Linked DNA regions of Drosophila melanogaster. The gene in region 1 interacts genetically with each later gene. Each region holds a gene or a part of one and is shown on either strand. Other genes may lie near its edges.

The links. A genetic interaction does not mean that the proteins touch.
Region 2: of Orco (region 1) and Or83c, changing one suppresses a phenotype caused by changing the other (phenotypic suppression), as found in Drosophila melanogaster (one study listed by BioGRID).

Annotation. Positions count from the first base shown.
Region 1 is NT_033777.3:5,406,178-5,415,342, reverse strand, and holds Orco (odorant receptor co-receptor), read left to right. Parts: upstream 1-2,936; 5' UTR 2,937-2,948; intron 2,949-4,873; exon of another isoform or gene 4,874-5,071; intron 5,072-5,418; 5' UTR 5,419-5,419; coding exon 5,420-5,727; intron 5,728-5,797; coding exon 5,798-6,312; intron 6,313-6,409; coding exon 6,410-6,635; intron 6,636-7,050; coding exon 7,051-7,255; intron 7,256-7,616; coding exon 7,617-7,772; intron 7,773-7,840; coding exon 7,841-7,891; 3' UTR 7,892-8,160; downstream 8,161-9,165. UniProt on the Drosophila melanogaster protein: Odorant coreceptor which complexes with conventional odorant receptors (ORs) to form odorant-sensing units, providing sensitive and prolonged odorant signaling and calcium permeability.
Region 2 is NT_033777.3:6,075,589-6,081,190, reverse strand, and holds Or83c (odorant receptor 83c), read left to right. Parts: upstream 1-2,907; coding exon 2,908-3,465; intron 3,466-3,542; coding exon 3,543-3,781; intron 3,782-3,868; coding exon 3,869-4,058; intron 4,059-4,124; coding exon 4,125-4,280; intron 4,281-4,336; coding exon 4,337-4,387; downstream 4,388-5,602. UniProt on the Drosophila melanogaster protein: Odorant receptor which mediates acceptance or avoidance behavior, depending on its substrates. The odorant receptor repertoire encodes a large collection of odor stimuli that vary widely in identity, intensity, and duration.

The DNA.
Region 1 (9,165 bases):
CGAGTACTGTTGTCCTTGCCAGCTGATGGACGCCTGGCCTAGCAGCTGTTATCACATCCTAATGCTAATGAGATTTTCATTGCTGGTGCTGTATCGGCGGCATTATCCTTCCCCTCCCCTCCAACTCCCCTCGCGAAAGGCAATACTCCTCACTGCCATACCAGAGATTCGTCATTCATAGCATTCTGATGGCAGCTGGCTGGCGCTAACGATGCCGAAGCTTTGGCCGTCTTCAGATGCTGCTGCCGATGATGAGGATGATGGCTTATGTAACTAGTGCTGCATAAATCCGAGAACACACACACACACACACACTCGCAAGTGGCGTGGGCAGAGGCCCACGAAATGCTTGTGTTTGGTGTTTTGCCTATGTCCTGGCTGCTCCTCATTCCCAACTACTCAAACTGTGTCTTTTCATGTTTTCTCGCTCGCCCCAGACATCATATCCTTTCTGTTCGAGTGTGTATGTGGGGCAGTTGTGTGTCTGCAGCAGTGGTAATTCGTTTGGCGCACGAGATGCTGCGTGCCTCTAACACTAAGAAGTCAGCAGCAAAAGAACTAGAACCGAACGAGTGGACCTTTGTCGTTGTCTGACTTCAAGTGGGCGGAGGGCGATGAGGTCCTTGGACAACACACTGGCACTGGCACACACACTCGCGTCCACGTTTGTTTCACTTCACTACCTTCACACACACGCGTTCCCCTAGAATTGGCCCGGTTCGGCTGGCTTTGCCTTGGGTTTTGGCTTCTGGCAGCGAACTGGCTTGCGAATCTGCTGGCGGATGCTGCTCTCGGTGCTGTTCATCTCCCGTCGATGGACCATGTTTGACTGGCTCCCAATAGAAGCCATTGGCTGTCGTTCGTCGCCACGCTCGCTTCGTCCTGGCCAAAATGCGGATCCCGTAACAGTGTCTGTGGTTTCTGCTGTGCTGCTCTCCTCTGCCCTGCTCTCCTCTGCTGAGGAGAGATTTTCTTATACGAATCTCTGCAAAGAGCAAGGAACGAGTCCTTCGAGAGCGAGAGAGAGAGAGAGAGCTCTCAGATGGCGAGTCACTTCTCTTGTTGCATTTCACAGGCTCAACGAGCCACAGATAATGCACGTGAGTTGCTGAAGCTGCCAGATGGTTCAGATTGCTATGCCTTTAAATATAAAATGGAACACGTCCTTAAAAATTAAATATTATATACATATATATATAAGAGAGAACCCAAAATGGTATCTAAGCAGAAGTGCAACAATATAAAATTAAGCTTAGAATTATTATTATTTTAATAGCTATCACTATCGATTTGCACATTTTTATCCGTATGAAAATAAAAATTAGGCAAGACACTTAAAATTAAGCATGCAAATTCTAATCACATGATTATTATAGATTCTATTAATACTACTACTGAGCCAACTTATATCGATATTCAAATAATATTTGTATTTTAATCTTCCACACGTTATATAGGCATATTTAATGCACCTCATGCTTTTACATAATTGCCGAAAGAGTGGCAACGTCTTGCCACAGCGTCTCTTATAATTTTAAACTCGTGGAGCTGAGCCATCTCAGATTTAACTCTCCCTGCGCATGCTCTCGCGTGGGAGAACAACTTCGAATTTCGGGCAGAAGGATAACAAAGAAAGCACTCCAACGAAACGAACACCCTACAGACTAATATAGAACACCACAAGACCAAAACTCGTTTAGTTGCCGCGTTGACAACTTTGTGGCAGGCGGCAAACAAACAAACCTCACACTAGTCCTGAATGTCCTTTATGCGGACAGCTGTGGGGGCGGGGATCCTGTTGCAATTCCATTGTGAAAGCCAAATGCATTGACCTGCTTAGACAGCTGAGAGATTTACAACTCCCCTATAACTCCTGGCCGTGCTGCAGTTCTGGGAAAGGGAGCAGCGGCATTAAATGGCAAATAAATCTAAAGTTAAACTTTTGACACTGTCTCGGCGAGCAGCCACGAAGGCACTTCCTTCCGACTCCCTCGACTTCCGGTTGGAATCTGTCGCCCTGTCAGCGGCAACAGAAGAAGTGACACTGGCACGCAGACAAGTGCACTGAGAGAAATTGCTTCGGTCATAGCTCAGTGAAATACTAATTATTTCTGCTGAGAAATATTGACAATTTAAAACAAAAGTCATAAAATATGAGCATACATTTTTTATGATTAACTAAATACTAATGCATTCGTTAAATATATATATACCGCCGAAAACAAATTAAGACATTTCCTATTCTGTCAATTACAATTTCATATTCAGTTATATTGTTTTAAACTAAACTGGCGATATATAAACTTTCTGGCTGAAAAATCTTTCTGAAATTGTACACCAGCAATTTCTCCATGTGTACTACTGTGCGATGTATAAGGATTGGATTTATGAGCGCCCAGCACCTCTACCGAAATCTTATAAAACCCGGGAATAAATAATAATAATTCTTGCGCTTTTCGCTGTTGTTCGCATTTCCCGCATTTCTCTGCCATTCTTTTCCATTCTTATGACAATGTCAACATTTCTTTTGCTCCCCTAATGGCCTGAAGAAAGCACACGCACACACACACACACATATAGACCACTCGCACACTATGAAACCGAATGTGGCACACACCCCACGCACTTATTTATATGTATTTTCGATCGTCTGTTGTTTTTCCAAGTCGGTTATGCATAGCCATAAATTCTGGTAAAAGCCTTCTGTAGGTCGAGGGCCACGGCGGTCCGAAAATAAAGGAATTGCTCCTGATGCTGGCACTTACGCACACAGCCAAGCAGCAGGATGGGAGAGAGAGGACCTCGCACACACGGACTCACGCACTCACACGCAATTGGTGTTCTCGCCGTTTTTGTTTGTCACTTAACAGATTTTTCTGTCCTTGCTGGGTATTGATTTCTAATTTTTCCTTCGTCGGCTTTGCGCCCCAAAGAGGTTTTTATAATGTGTGCGTGTGTGTGTGTGTGTGTGTCGCATTGATTTCGCAATTTATGGGCGATTTGATGGATTGCTTGAATAACTTTATATGCTTATTTTTGAGTTTTTATTGTTTTACAACTTGCGGTATTTTATGTAGAGATCCTGTGGACGACCTAATGGAAATCATTTGGTTTTGGCTGAAATGCGGCCATAAAGGTGTGAATCAAAATAATGTTGCCTATACTTCGGGTATATCATTTCATATGGAAAGCGCTTAATAATAATTATATAAATATATAATTTCTAGTTAATGTGACTTTATTAACCCATTAGTGCGTTTTAATCATTTAATTTGGCATCAGAATCGATCACAGTCACGAACACAAAAGCGTAATGGTAAAAATAAAGGCTCATTTGTTTAAGTTGTAAATTAAATAAAGCAAGTGTCACTTTCCATTTAAATGTTGCCTAATAATTAATGACAAAAGGCTGCAGGGCTCACGATGTCCGCGGTTAGCTAATTGATCCAAACGCATCCGCGTAATTAAACTTTCAGCCACAAGCCCATAAAATAAATCAAAAAGCGAAGGACCGAAAGGGGCAACATTTAGGGGGGGGGGGCTTGTTTCGCATGGCTGAGTTCAGGACGATTAAACGTTAAATCAATATTGTTAAATCCCCGCTCGCATCCCCGCAATCCACACAGGCAAGTGTTCACGTATTAATTGATGTTCGTGAGTGTCCTGCATTTAAATAATCCATGATTTGGGACATCTGTGTCTGAGTTCCCATTCATATATGTATGCATATGTGTATATGAGTGGTGGAAACTAGCTGCAGATATAGCTACAGACACAGATACATTTACATTCCGGCACATAGTTTTAAGTGTGATTCAGTTATTCACAATAGTCGCCGCTTTTTGTTCTTGCCACGTTTTAATATTGTCACAACTAGTTTCGAATAACTAAATTGGATGTTTTCGATTAGCATTCAATACACTGCTCAGCAATTTCGTTTGCGTTGCAATTTGAGTACTAGATTTTGAATTAGACAATTGTTTTATTAATTGCCTACATGTATATTACCTAACTGATTTCGAAGGCCACTTGTACGACCTTGAGATAGAGTATTAATTATTTAAATTCTACTGTATTATAATTGCAAAGAATTGTAAGTATTCATAATATATAATGGCAACCCAATTTAAGACTTCTTTTGAAGGCCCCCGCCTACCGAAATTCAGTGCCTATGAGAACTGAGAACGAAAAAAATTGAGCAAGGACCAAATATCCATCAGGCTGAACACACACATTTTCATGCAAATAGGCAATGTGTTATTTTTTTGGGTCAGCGATTCACGGAGGGATCCCCACCAAATGGGTTGGCTGAGGAATGGCCTATCCCCATATCTCAGCGGCACTTGGGGCAGGCCAACAAATACAAGCAGGCATAATAAAATAATCGATGCTTTTAAAATTTGCATAAGTTTGGATACCGCAGATGCCGCGCAAGGATGAGCCCATCTCCAGTCCCAGTGCCATTCCGCCAGTGCGCATACGCCGCGTGGAGGGCACAGGACTGGGCCATGGCCCATGGCCCAAAAGCGGAGTCCTAGACCCGGAGACGACAGCAGTGGTGGACAAGTTCGTGGGCGTTCGATTTAATTGTGGGAATTCTGCGTCTGCCACGCACCCATCACATCGATGGACGTGGCTGAAGAGCTGAATTTTTAAGCGCTCCAAGGCGGCCCGATACCCATATTGTATATTTTCATTACCATGTGTGGGTCGGAGTGAAAGTCGCGGGCTAGGATTTAATGTGGCCTTGTTGCAGCCGTGGGAACTCGTCCTCAAAGTACACGTCCTTATGTACAGCGGAGCAAGTACCTAGCCGACAGAAGGAGCAGGCACTTGTCGACAGAGCTTTTTAACCTTCCGGATTTCACATTTCATTACCGTCGACATCGCGGTGCTGGCAGGTCAACTGTGTCCTGGTTCCGGAAAGCCTCATATCTCGTATCTTAAAGTATCCCGGTTAAGCCTTAAAGAGTGAAATGATTGCCTAGATGATTGCTGCATTACTGGCACTCAATTAACCCAAGTGTACCAGACAACAATTACATTTGTATTTTTAAAGTTCAATAGCAAGGTAATAGCACTGGGTCTTTCAATATTACAATATTACCAATTAGAGAACCATATATCGTACACAATTGTTCCACATTCCGAATTTAATAACTCACGATCGATAGCCAAATTAATATTAATTTGAGAGGACATGAGTCCACCTGAATATTCAATATGCATTATACATTATCCCGCTATGAATAAAACATTCCAAATCGATTCATTTCGGGCAGGAAAATTCCTTTTCTACTCGGCAAGCAAACCAAGGACTAATCACAAATACGGAATATTGAACAGATTACGTTCATAATAGCTGATTGTGTTGGCGAAACCTATTAATTTTGTCGTGCAATTTCCGCCGCTCAACAGGATGACAACCTCGATGCAGCCGAGCAAGTACACGGGCCTGGTCGCCGACCTGATGCCCAACATCCGGGCGATGAAGTACTCCGGCCTGTTCATGCACAACTTCACGGGCGGCAGTGCCTTCATGAAGAAGGTGTACTCCTCCGTGCACCTGGTGTTCCTCCTCATGCAGTTCACCTTCATCCTGGTCAACATGGCCCTGAACGCCGAGGAGGTCAACGAGCTGTCGGGCAACACGATCACGACCCTCTTCTTCACCCACTGCATCACGAAGTTTATCTACCTGGCTGTTAACCAGAAGAATTTCTACAGGTGAGCCTCTGCTCACCGCACCGAGCTTACGAACACTTGGGGAATTTAAAATTTTATGTTTTTCCGGCAGAACATTGAATATATGGAACCAGGTGAACACGCATCCCTTGTTCGCCGAGTCGGATGCTCGTTACCATTCGATCGCACTGGCGAAGATGAGGAAGCTGTTCTTTCTGGTGATGCTGACCACAGTCGCCTCGGCCACCGCCTGGACCACGATCACCTTCTTTGGCGACAGCGTAAAAATGGTGGTGGACCATGAGACGAACTCCAGCATCCCGGTGGAGATACCCCGGCTGCCGATTAAGTCCTTCTACCCGTGGAACGCCAGCCACGGCATGTTCTACATGATCAGCTTTGCCTTTCAGATCTACTACGTGCTCTTCTCGATGATCCACTCCAATCTATGCGACGTGATGTTCTGCTCTTGGCTGATATTCGCCTGCGAGCAGCTGCAGCACTTGAAGGGCATCATGAAGCCGCTGATGGAGCTGTCCGCCTCGCTGGACACCTACAGGCCCAACTCGGCGGCCCTCTTCAGGTCCCTGTCGGCCAACTCCAAGTCGGAGCTAATTCATAATGAAGGTGATTTGTTGAGTCTGAACCTAAACTTTTAGGCGGTTATTCAGTGAGCACTTCACTGAATAGGAAAATGCCATGACGAGCTGTTTTTCCATTGCAGAAAAGGATCCCGGCACCGACATGGACATGTCGGGCATCTACAGCTCGAAAGCGGATTGGGGCGCTCAGTTTCGAGCACCCTCGACACTGCAGTCCTTTGGCGGGAACGGGGGCGGAGGCAACGGGTTGGTGAACGGCGCTAATCCCAACGGGCTGACCAAAAAGCAGGAGATGATGGTGCGCAGTGCCATCAAGTACTGGGTCGAGCGGCACAAGCACGTGGTGCGGTGAGTTCAAATCCTGGCCAAATTGGACCAGCCATTTCAAGGGGGCTTTGGCCAGTGATGATTGGATTTTTGGCGATTTAAATGGCAGAGCAGTCCACTCATATTTCATGGACTTGGATTTTTGCCTTTAACAGAGCACCGAACATAATAAACACACACACTTTCCCCTCAGTTTTGTAAAACTTCAATAGGCGCCATCGGAACATGTGTTCTCATTTATTAGGAGCTCAACAGATCCCTGCAGCTTGTTTGACTTACTTGATTACTTCCTCAATTGCAATCATTGTTGGGGGCCCTAGAGGAATGTCCTTGTTTGTCCTGTCCGACAGTTGGCGTGTGCAGTTGTTGATACCAATATTGACTTGATTCCTGCCTGCAATCCCTCATCCTTTCCCCCGTTGCCTTTTCCCCACAGACTGGTGGCTGCCATCGGCGATACTTACGGAGCCGCCCTCCTCCTCCACATGCTGACCTCGACCATCAAGCTGACCCTGCTGGCATACCAGGCCACCAAAATCAACGGAGTGAATGTCTACGCCTTCACAGTCGTCGGATACCTAGGATACGCGCTGGCCCAGGTGTTCCACTTTTGCATCTTTGGCAATCGTCTGATTGAAGAGGTGAGTTTGTGCAGGGTTGCAAGATAAATTTATAAGTAAATCAGACATCAGTCTCAACTGATTAATAATCGAGAACATCCTTATTTGAGTTATAGGGATATTTATAAAAAATTTTGAGACTTCATTAAAACTAAATGAATTGTAAGTTGAGAGTCAACAGATTGGTCCGTTCACTACAAGCTAACCAGTGTGTTTTTTCCATGTGGTAGAAATAAAAGGGTGTTTTTGCGTATGAGATAAAATTGAACCAATGTTTTCAAGTTTATAGATTGGGAAACATACATAGTTCTAAACGTTGTTATAGTTATAGTTTGTGTAGTTAGTTATCTAGAGCATCCTTAATACGACTTTCATTTCGCAGAGTTCATCCGTCATGGAGGCCGCCTACTCGTGCCACTGGTACGATGGCTCCGAGGAGGCCAAGACCTTCGTCCAGATCGTGTGCCAGCAGTGCCAGAAGGCGATGAGCATATCGGGAGCGAAATTCTTCACCGTCTCCCTGGATTTGTTTGCTTCGGTTTGTTGCATTTGATTTATTGATCTATTGATGGAGTTAAAACTGAATCGGATATTCCCGATTCGCAGGTTCTGGGTGCCGTCGTCACCTACTTTATGGTGCTGGTGCAGCTCAAGTAAGTTGCTGCGAAGCTGATGGATTTTTGTACCAGAAAAGCGAATGCCAAGAAGCCACCTACCGCCCCTTGCCCCCTCCGCACTGTGCAACCAGCAATATCACAGAGCAATTATAACGCAAATTATATATTTTATACCTGCGACGAGCGAGCCTCGTGGGGCATAATGGAGACATTCTGGGGCACATAGAAGCCTGCAAATACTTATCGATTTTGTACACGCGTAGAGCTTTTAATGTAAACCCAAGATGCAAACTAAATAAATGTGTAGTGAAACTCGAAGGTTTAATGGGGGGTTAATAGAATAGAAACAGGCGGAGTTTATTTCATTTTAAATTTCGAATTCATTCGAATTTATTTGCATCTTAAGTATTAATATATATATATATTCTGCATATACAATATAAAATCTAGAATATTGTCAACTATAATATATTTTGGTTTAGCAAACTCAAATAGAGAACTGTTTCTCAATTACTTTAATGTGTGTTATGAACTTTTTTTTCTGAGCTCCATTGTTAAATTGCTAGTTTAGATTCAAGTTGGGTCAGGAGCGGCTTGTAGTCCATCAATTAGTTTTAATTCAATAATTATCGGTGCTGTTCACATGATAAGCGTGGAATTTAATGGGCTAGACGCCGTGTTTATCGCATCACTGGCTTGCATGCCGCAATTTTCACGGCAAACGTATGTGCAAAACGAACTAAATTTAGGAATAAATGCGGATTATAATCATAATCTTTGGGCCGTAGTCGTTTTGGCCACATTTTTGGCAACTGTTGGCGCAACAGCAGAAGCAGTATGAGTACGATTAGAAACGGCCAGCCATCGTCAGCAGTTGCAGTGGCAACAATTAAAAGTGGCAAAAGTGTAATTCGGAATCATACTGTCGAGCGTGGTTGTGGATCTCCACACGCTTAGCTCCACTTACATAGCTCTCCTATATTTTTGCCGTTTTGAAAGCGCACTTTATGGTTTTCAAAATTGCCCAACTGGGCCGTCTGACTCCGCGGCGGGTTAAAACTGAAGCAACAACAAGAAAACGCTCCACGGCGCGAACTTTTAATGCGGCCACGCTCCGTACATTTGGCGGAGTTTTTATTTCTTGCAGCTTTCATAAAACAAAAACGAACCAACGAACGAAAAGTGACTACAACTAAAATTGCGCCAAGAGTGTGCGCCAGATGGGGCAAGACGAGGTGGGGCGAAGTATCTGTATCTGCTGGATACCCCTCTCCATGCAACCGCTGCTTACTGTTAATTTCTTTATTGCGCACA
Region 2 (5,602 bases), 670 kb from region 1:
GGCCAACGGGACGGAGCAAAAAGCGGAACAGGCAACAGACAACTCCCCCACAATTGTAGGCTCACACAGCGAGAAAACTCCATTTTGTTCATTGTTCAATGCTCGGATAATAATAATTGTTTAAATAAATACAGGATGTTACTTAGTTAAAAAACTACAACACCTCAGTCCGCAAATCACTCCAATTATTTGTAAATTCCAAATGAGACTTTTGAGAACATATTTCGTTTCCGGTGCCTTTCTCGAGCATTCCCACACGCTTTAAGTCACTGCCGCTCATAATGCCCATAAAAAATTTGTCATCATTAGCCGAAGAGAATGACGCTGACGTACCGGGGTCCGCCCATCTATCAATGTGTGTATCTGGGCACCAGTAGCAAGGACACTTAAAGATATTGCCCCGACTGGGTCGTCGTGCTGCATATTAGTCGGCAGCTTAAAGCGTTCGACTGATTGATTATGTATCATCGAGAGGCAGTGGGACACTGGGCAAAGGCCACTCGCTTTAAGGCTTTAAGCCGCCCATTAGGGTTATTAAATATGCCGCTTTGTGGGTGTACGCTCGTATGCGGGCTATTAGGAATGATAATGGATTGCGAATATTAATTTCTTTGCATGATGGAAAGAATCAACAAAGAACAATGCGTTTAATCTTTATAGACACGCAGCCGCAGGAGAGGGTCGGACAATGCCTTGTGCCAATAATGATAACCGGAAGCCATTAAAGGAAGTTTCAATACAAGAAACACTCTCCCACGCACACACACACACACGCACGCTCTCACACAAACGCATGAATGCCTCTATAGGCAGCTTAAGGCTCTGCACTTTCCTTTTTGTGTTTTGCACTGCGCGAAAAACTAGGACTTACGACGGGGACCATTGAAAAGTAATTTTTAAACATATTTAATCATACGTATCAATTAACATAAACTTGTGTGAAATTATAGATTTTAATTGCTCTTAAACAAAATAAACAACTTCTTAGGAAAATATTTATTCCCTCTAAATAACGTACCCCGATTCCCATCCATTTCTTCCGTGCAGTAGTGGCTGTAGTTGGGCCTGTTGTTTGCCTTCCATTTCCATTGCATCGTCGGCGGCAACGGCGATATTGTAATTTTTATTCCTCTTTGTGCCATTCAGGCGGCAAGCAGCAAAGGCGAATCCTGCGAAAGGAAGCCGTCCTGCAAGTCGAGCGTTCAATTCCCTTTCAATAAGGAAGTGGATGTGGAAGCAAGTAGGTGTGGGTGTGTGTGTGGCACCGCACACGCACCTTGCAATCTTGCTAATGTTTTTCCAGAGAGCGCGTCTTAAGAGCCACCTGCAGTTAGCAGTTTGCAGTTTGAGCTCCGCAAACAGCCGTCGGGTCGATGCGGAAGTCAGGCTAGAAATCCGACCCTGGCTTAGGTCACACCACCATGATGCCACGCCATGCCACCGCGCCAGGGGCATAATGCAGGCCGTCAGGCAGACAAGTTGAGGCGCCAAGTTTTCGGGAAATCGGGGGGCGGGCACGACGTCGACCATCAATGGCACACACTCGCATTTTCAATTGATTAAACATCAAACGCCCAGGCATGGGTTTGAGTATGTATAGCCTGCATTTTTTACGTGCCGCAGCGCAAAAATGCCAGGGAATATTATCCGAGAGCATTATGTTGATGCCGATATATACTCGCACAATATGAAATTCCATTGCATTTTATAGGCAGGCAGCCAAGGAAAACAAAAAACATAGGAGGAAACGTAAGAAGTACAAAGTCGAGTATTGCGACTATGGGATACCAAGTTATTAATTTTATATTTTAAACATATGTTGCATACCTAAGTGCGTTTCTGTTGATGCGAAACCGCTTACCTTTTCGAGCTTATAAGTTCATATTTGTGTTCTATATCTTTTCAAGTTTATGTGTATGCCAAAACTCAGCATACCCCTGTAAGGGGTTCAGAAATCAAACACACACACAGGCAGAAACACAATGGAAGGCAGTAAAAACCTGCGGCAGGCCATTGTGAGGCATAAACAAAAGATGCAGCAGATGGAAGGTGGAGCTGCTGGATCGGCCAGAATAACAAAATACCGCAGACAAAAACCGAAATCTGTTCGAGCGTGGAAAAGGTGAGTTGCCAAACCACTCTCCATTCCCCCTGCCGACTTACACATTCTCAGGCCCAAGTACAAGTGGGTAGTTTTAGTTGGGATCAGCCTTTAGAAATGTGGCAAAGCAAAATTTATAGCTTGGAAATTAATAACAAAAAGCACACAATGAACTAGTGCATATATACCCGCCAGGCCATCCAAAGGGCTCTGAATAATAACGTTCCGCACTCTGAAGTGTATTAGACAACAGTGCGTATGATGAATGCCATCGGAGGACTTTCGAAACAAAAGGGGATTAATTGTATGCGAAAGGTGGCCACCTTCCCACCCACTAATACGGGGGGAAACAAAGGGATAGGGAATTTTATTGTGTTAATTCTGCGGTTTCCTTACTTCGGCAGAACACTTTTAAAATTCCCCAATGTGCAGTAATTATGAGCATGCAAACAATGTGAATTTCCTAGGCATGAGGATATCTTTAAAGCATTAAGTTATTGAGCTCCTTAACGCATTAGAATGAAGAACATCGAACATACATTTTAAGGAACCTAGTATAACCTTATATAGAAGGAAAGCAGATACATTAATTCACTCTGAATCAAGAATAGGTACATATGTATGTTCCCAGATGGACAACTCAAATCTTGTAATTTCACAAAGCAAATAGTACAACAATTAAAGTAGATAATGACAAAATTACTTGCAACTTATGATAATTGCAGTGACATTTGCAGTCCCGCTGTGAAAACAAATGTTTTCGTATAAAAGGGGAAAAACTGGAGGATTAATTCAGTTCCATCACAATGAGTACTTCTGAAAGTCCTTCAAGTCGCTTTCGCGAACTATCCAAGTACATCAATAGTTTGACTAATTTACTTGGCGTGGATTTTCTTTCGCCCAAATTGAAATTTAATTATCGCACCTGGACCACGATCTTTGCAATCGCCAACTATACTGGCTTCACGGTATTTACTATACTAAATAATGGCGGTGACTGGAGGGTGGGACTGAAGGCCAGTCTTATGACTGGTGGGCTATTCCACGGACTCGGGAAGTTCCTGACTTGTCTGCTGAAGCATCAAGACATGAGACGTCTGGTCCTTTACTCACAAAGCATTTACGATGAATACGAGACTCGGGGAGATTCCTACCACAGGACCTTGAATTCGAACATAGATCGACTCCTCGGCATCATGAAGATCATTCGAAACGGATATGTATTCGCTTTTTGTTTGATGGAACTCCTGCCATTGGCCATGCTAATGTACGATGGAACCCGGGTTACTGCGATGCAGTATTTAATTCCGGGTCTACCGCTTGAGAACAATTATTGCTACGTAGTCACGTACATGATTCAGACGGTAGGAGCCACTAAAGCTGTTGAGATTCTGTCAACACTTCCTCCCTCTCCTAACCAAGTTATTTTCGTCGATTGCAGGTGACAATGCTCGTGCAAGGAGTCGGATTCTACTCCGGTGATTTGTTCGTATTTCTCGGCTTAACGCAGATCCTAACTTTCGCCGATATGCTGCAGGTGAAGGTGAAAGAGCTAAACGATGCCCTGGAACAAAAAGCGGAATACAGAGCTCTAGTCCGAGTTGGAGCTTCTATTGATGGAGCGGAAAATCGTCAACGCCTTCTCTTGGATGTTATAAGATGGCATCAATTATTCACGGAGTAAGAAACACTTAATTTCTCCTTTTAAAAAATAAATAAAATCAAAAAGGAACGGCTTATCATATGTCATTTCTCCCATACATTTAGCTACTGTCGCGCCATAAATGCCCTCTACTACGAATTGATCGCCACTCAGGTTCTTTCGATGGCTTTGGCCATGATGCTCAGCTTCTGCATTAATTTGAGCAGCTTTCACATGCCTTCGGCTATCTTTTTCGTGGTTTCTGCCTACAGCATGTCCATCTATTGCATTCTGGGCACCATTCTTGAGTTTGCAGTGAGCTTTAGTAAAATTAAGTCTATGAGCACTTAGTTCTTACGCATTCTTATTTGTCTTCAACAGTATGACCAGGTGTACGAGAGCATCTGTAATGTGACCTGGTATGAGTTGAGTGGCGAACAGCGAAAGCTTTTTGGTTTTTTGTTGCGGGAATCCCAGTATCCGCACAATATTCAGATACTTGGAGTTATGTCGCTTTCCGTGAGAACGGCTCTGCAGGTGAGTAAGTGGGCTTTTAGTTTATAATACCACATTGGATTTTCGTATACTTTTAGATTGTTAAACTAATTTATAGCGTATCCATGATGATGATGAATCGGGCGTAGAAGACAGAGAACACTAAAAAAAAAAAAATCTGACACGCATTACACAATATCTTGATACACAATAATTCTAAAGAGATATGCGAGTTTTTAGATTCGTTGAACAGTATGCATGCAGTATAGAAAGTATTTTTTCTCAATCAGGACCATTAGCTAGTGGGAATTACAAAAGCTAGTTTATGCACTCAGACGCACCCACGTAGTTCAAATTTGATTCAGAAATTGCCACGCCCACCAATCGCCTATACTATTACTATTAAAACTTTTGGTTAATCCAAATGTTAGCCCGGAATCAGCTTACAAATTTTATTCAGCCAACTTTGAAATGCTCTTCTCCCACTTTGCTCCTGATGAACTCGTCGTCGGGATTTTTTCTGCTGCCATTAACCTTGGCCACTAATTACCAACACACAGAGCTGAATTTATGGCATCGGTTTATGGAGCCCCGACTCGAAAACATTAATTGTGCGTCTCATTAAGGGGAGTTTCTTATGCACAAAACATTTAATACATTTCGCATACACGCATAAAAATTTAATTTATTTTGAAATGGTGCGTTCACTTCCCCGATATTTGGCCGGCGGACATTAATAGCTCCTGACCAGGCCATGAATAATGGGCATTTTATAAATGTGGTCGGGACAATGGCCCGGATGCTTGGATAAAAAATAATAACAATAATTGTAACGTCGTTATAATGCAGTCGTAATTAAGTACACCGTTGTTGTACGGACCTTCCGCCACCCAGCGACTATAAAAACGAAATGATTTTAATAAAATCAACAGTCGAAAGGACAGAAAGGACCAGAGCAACAGTTTGGTCAGCGGACTCATCGACCTCTTGGATTCAGATTTACGACCGCTTCGCATTCCATAATTTACTCATTTTTCATGCGCTATTTAATTACGCTAAATTATGGCCGCAAAGGGTTGAGCGGTTGTTTGTTTATGGCCAGTATAACACTCAAAAGTAGAGGTGATGCTGTACATCATTTGGATACAAATACAAACAGGCCTAAAATCAAAGGCTTTAAAACCCAATACAAAGAAGGCGGAATACTGGAGGCGAGTATTGTATTGACTATCTGATATCTGTTACGACGGAGACGGGGAAGGATATTTCAAAGCAATACAATCCTGTTTACGACTCTTAAAATGTAGAGGCATGCTTAAACTAATATAAGGGTGGAAACTTACATTTATGGAACGTACAACAAA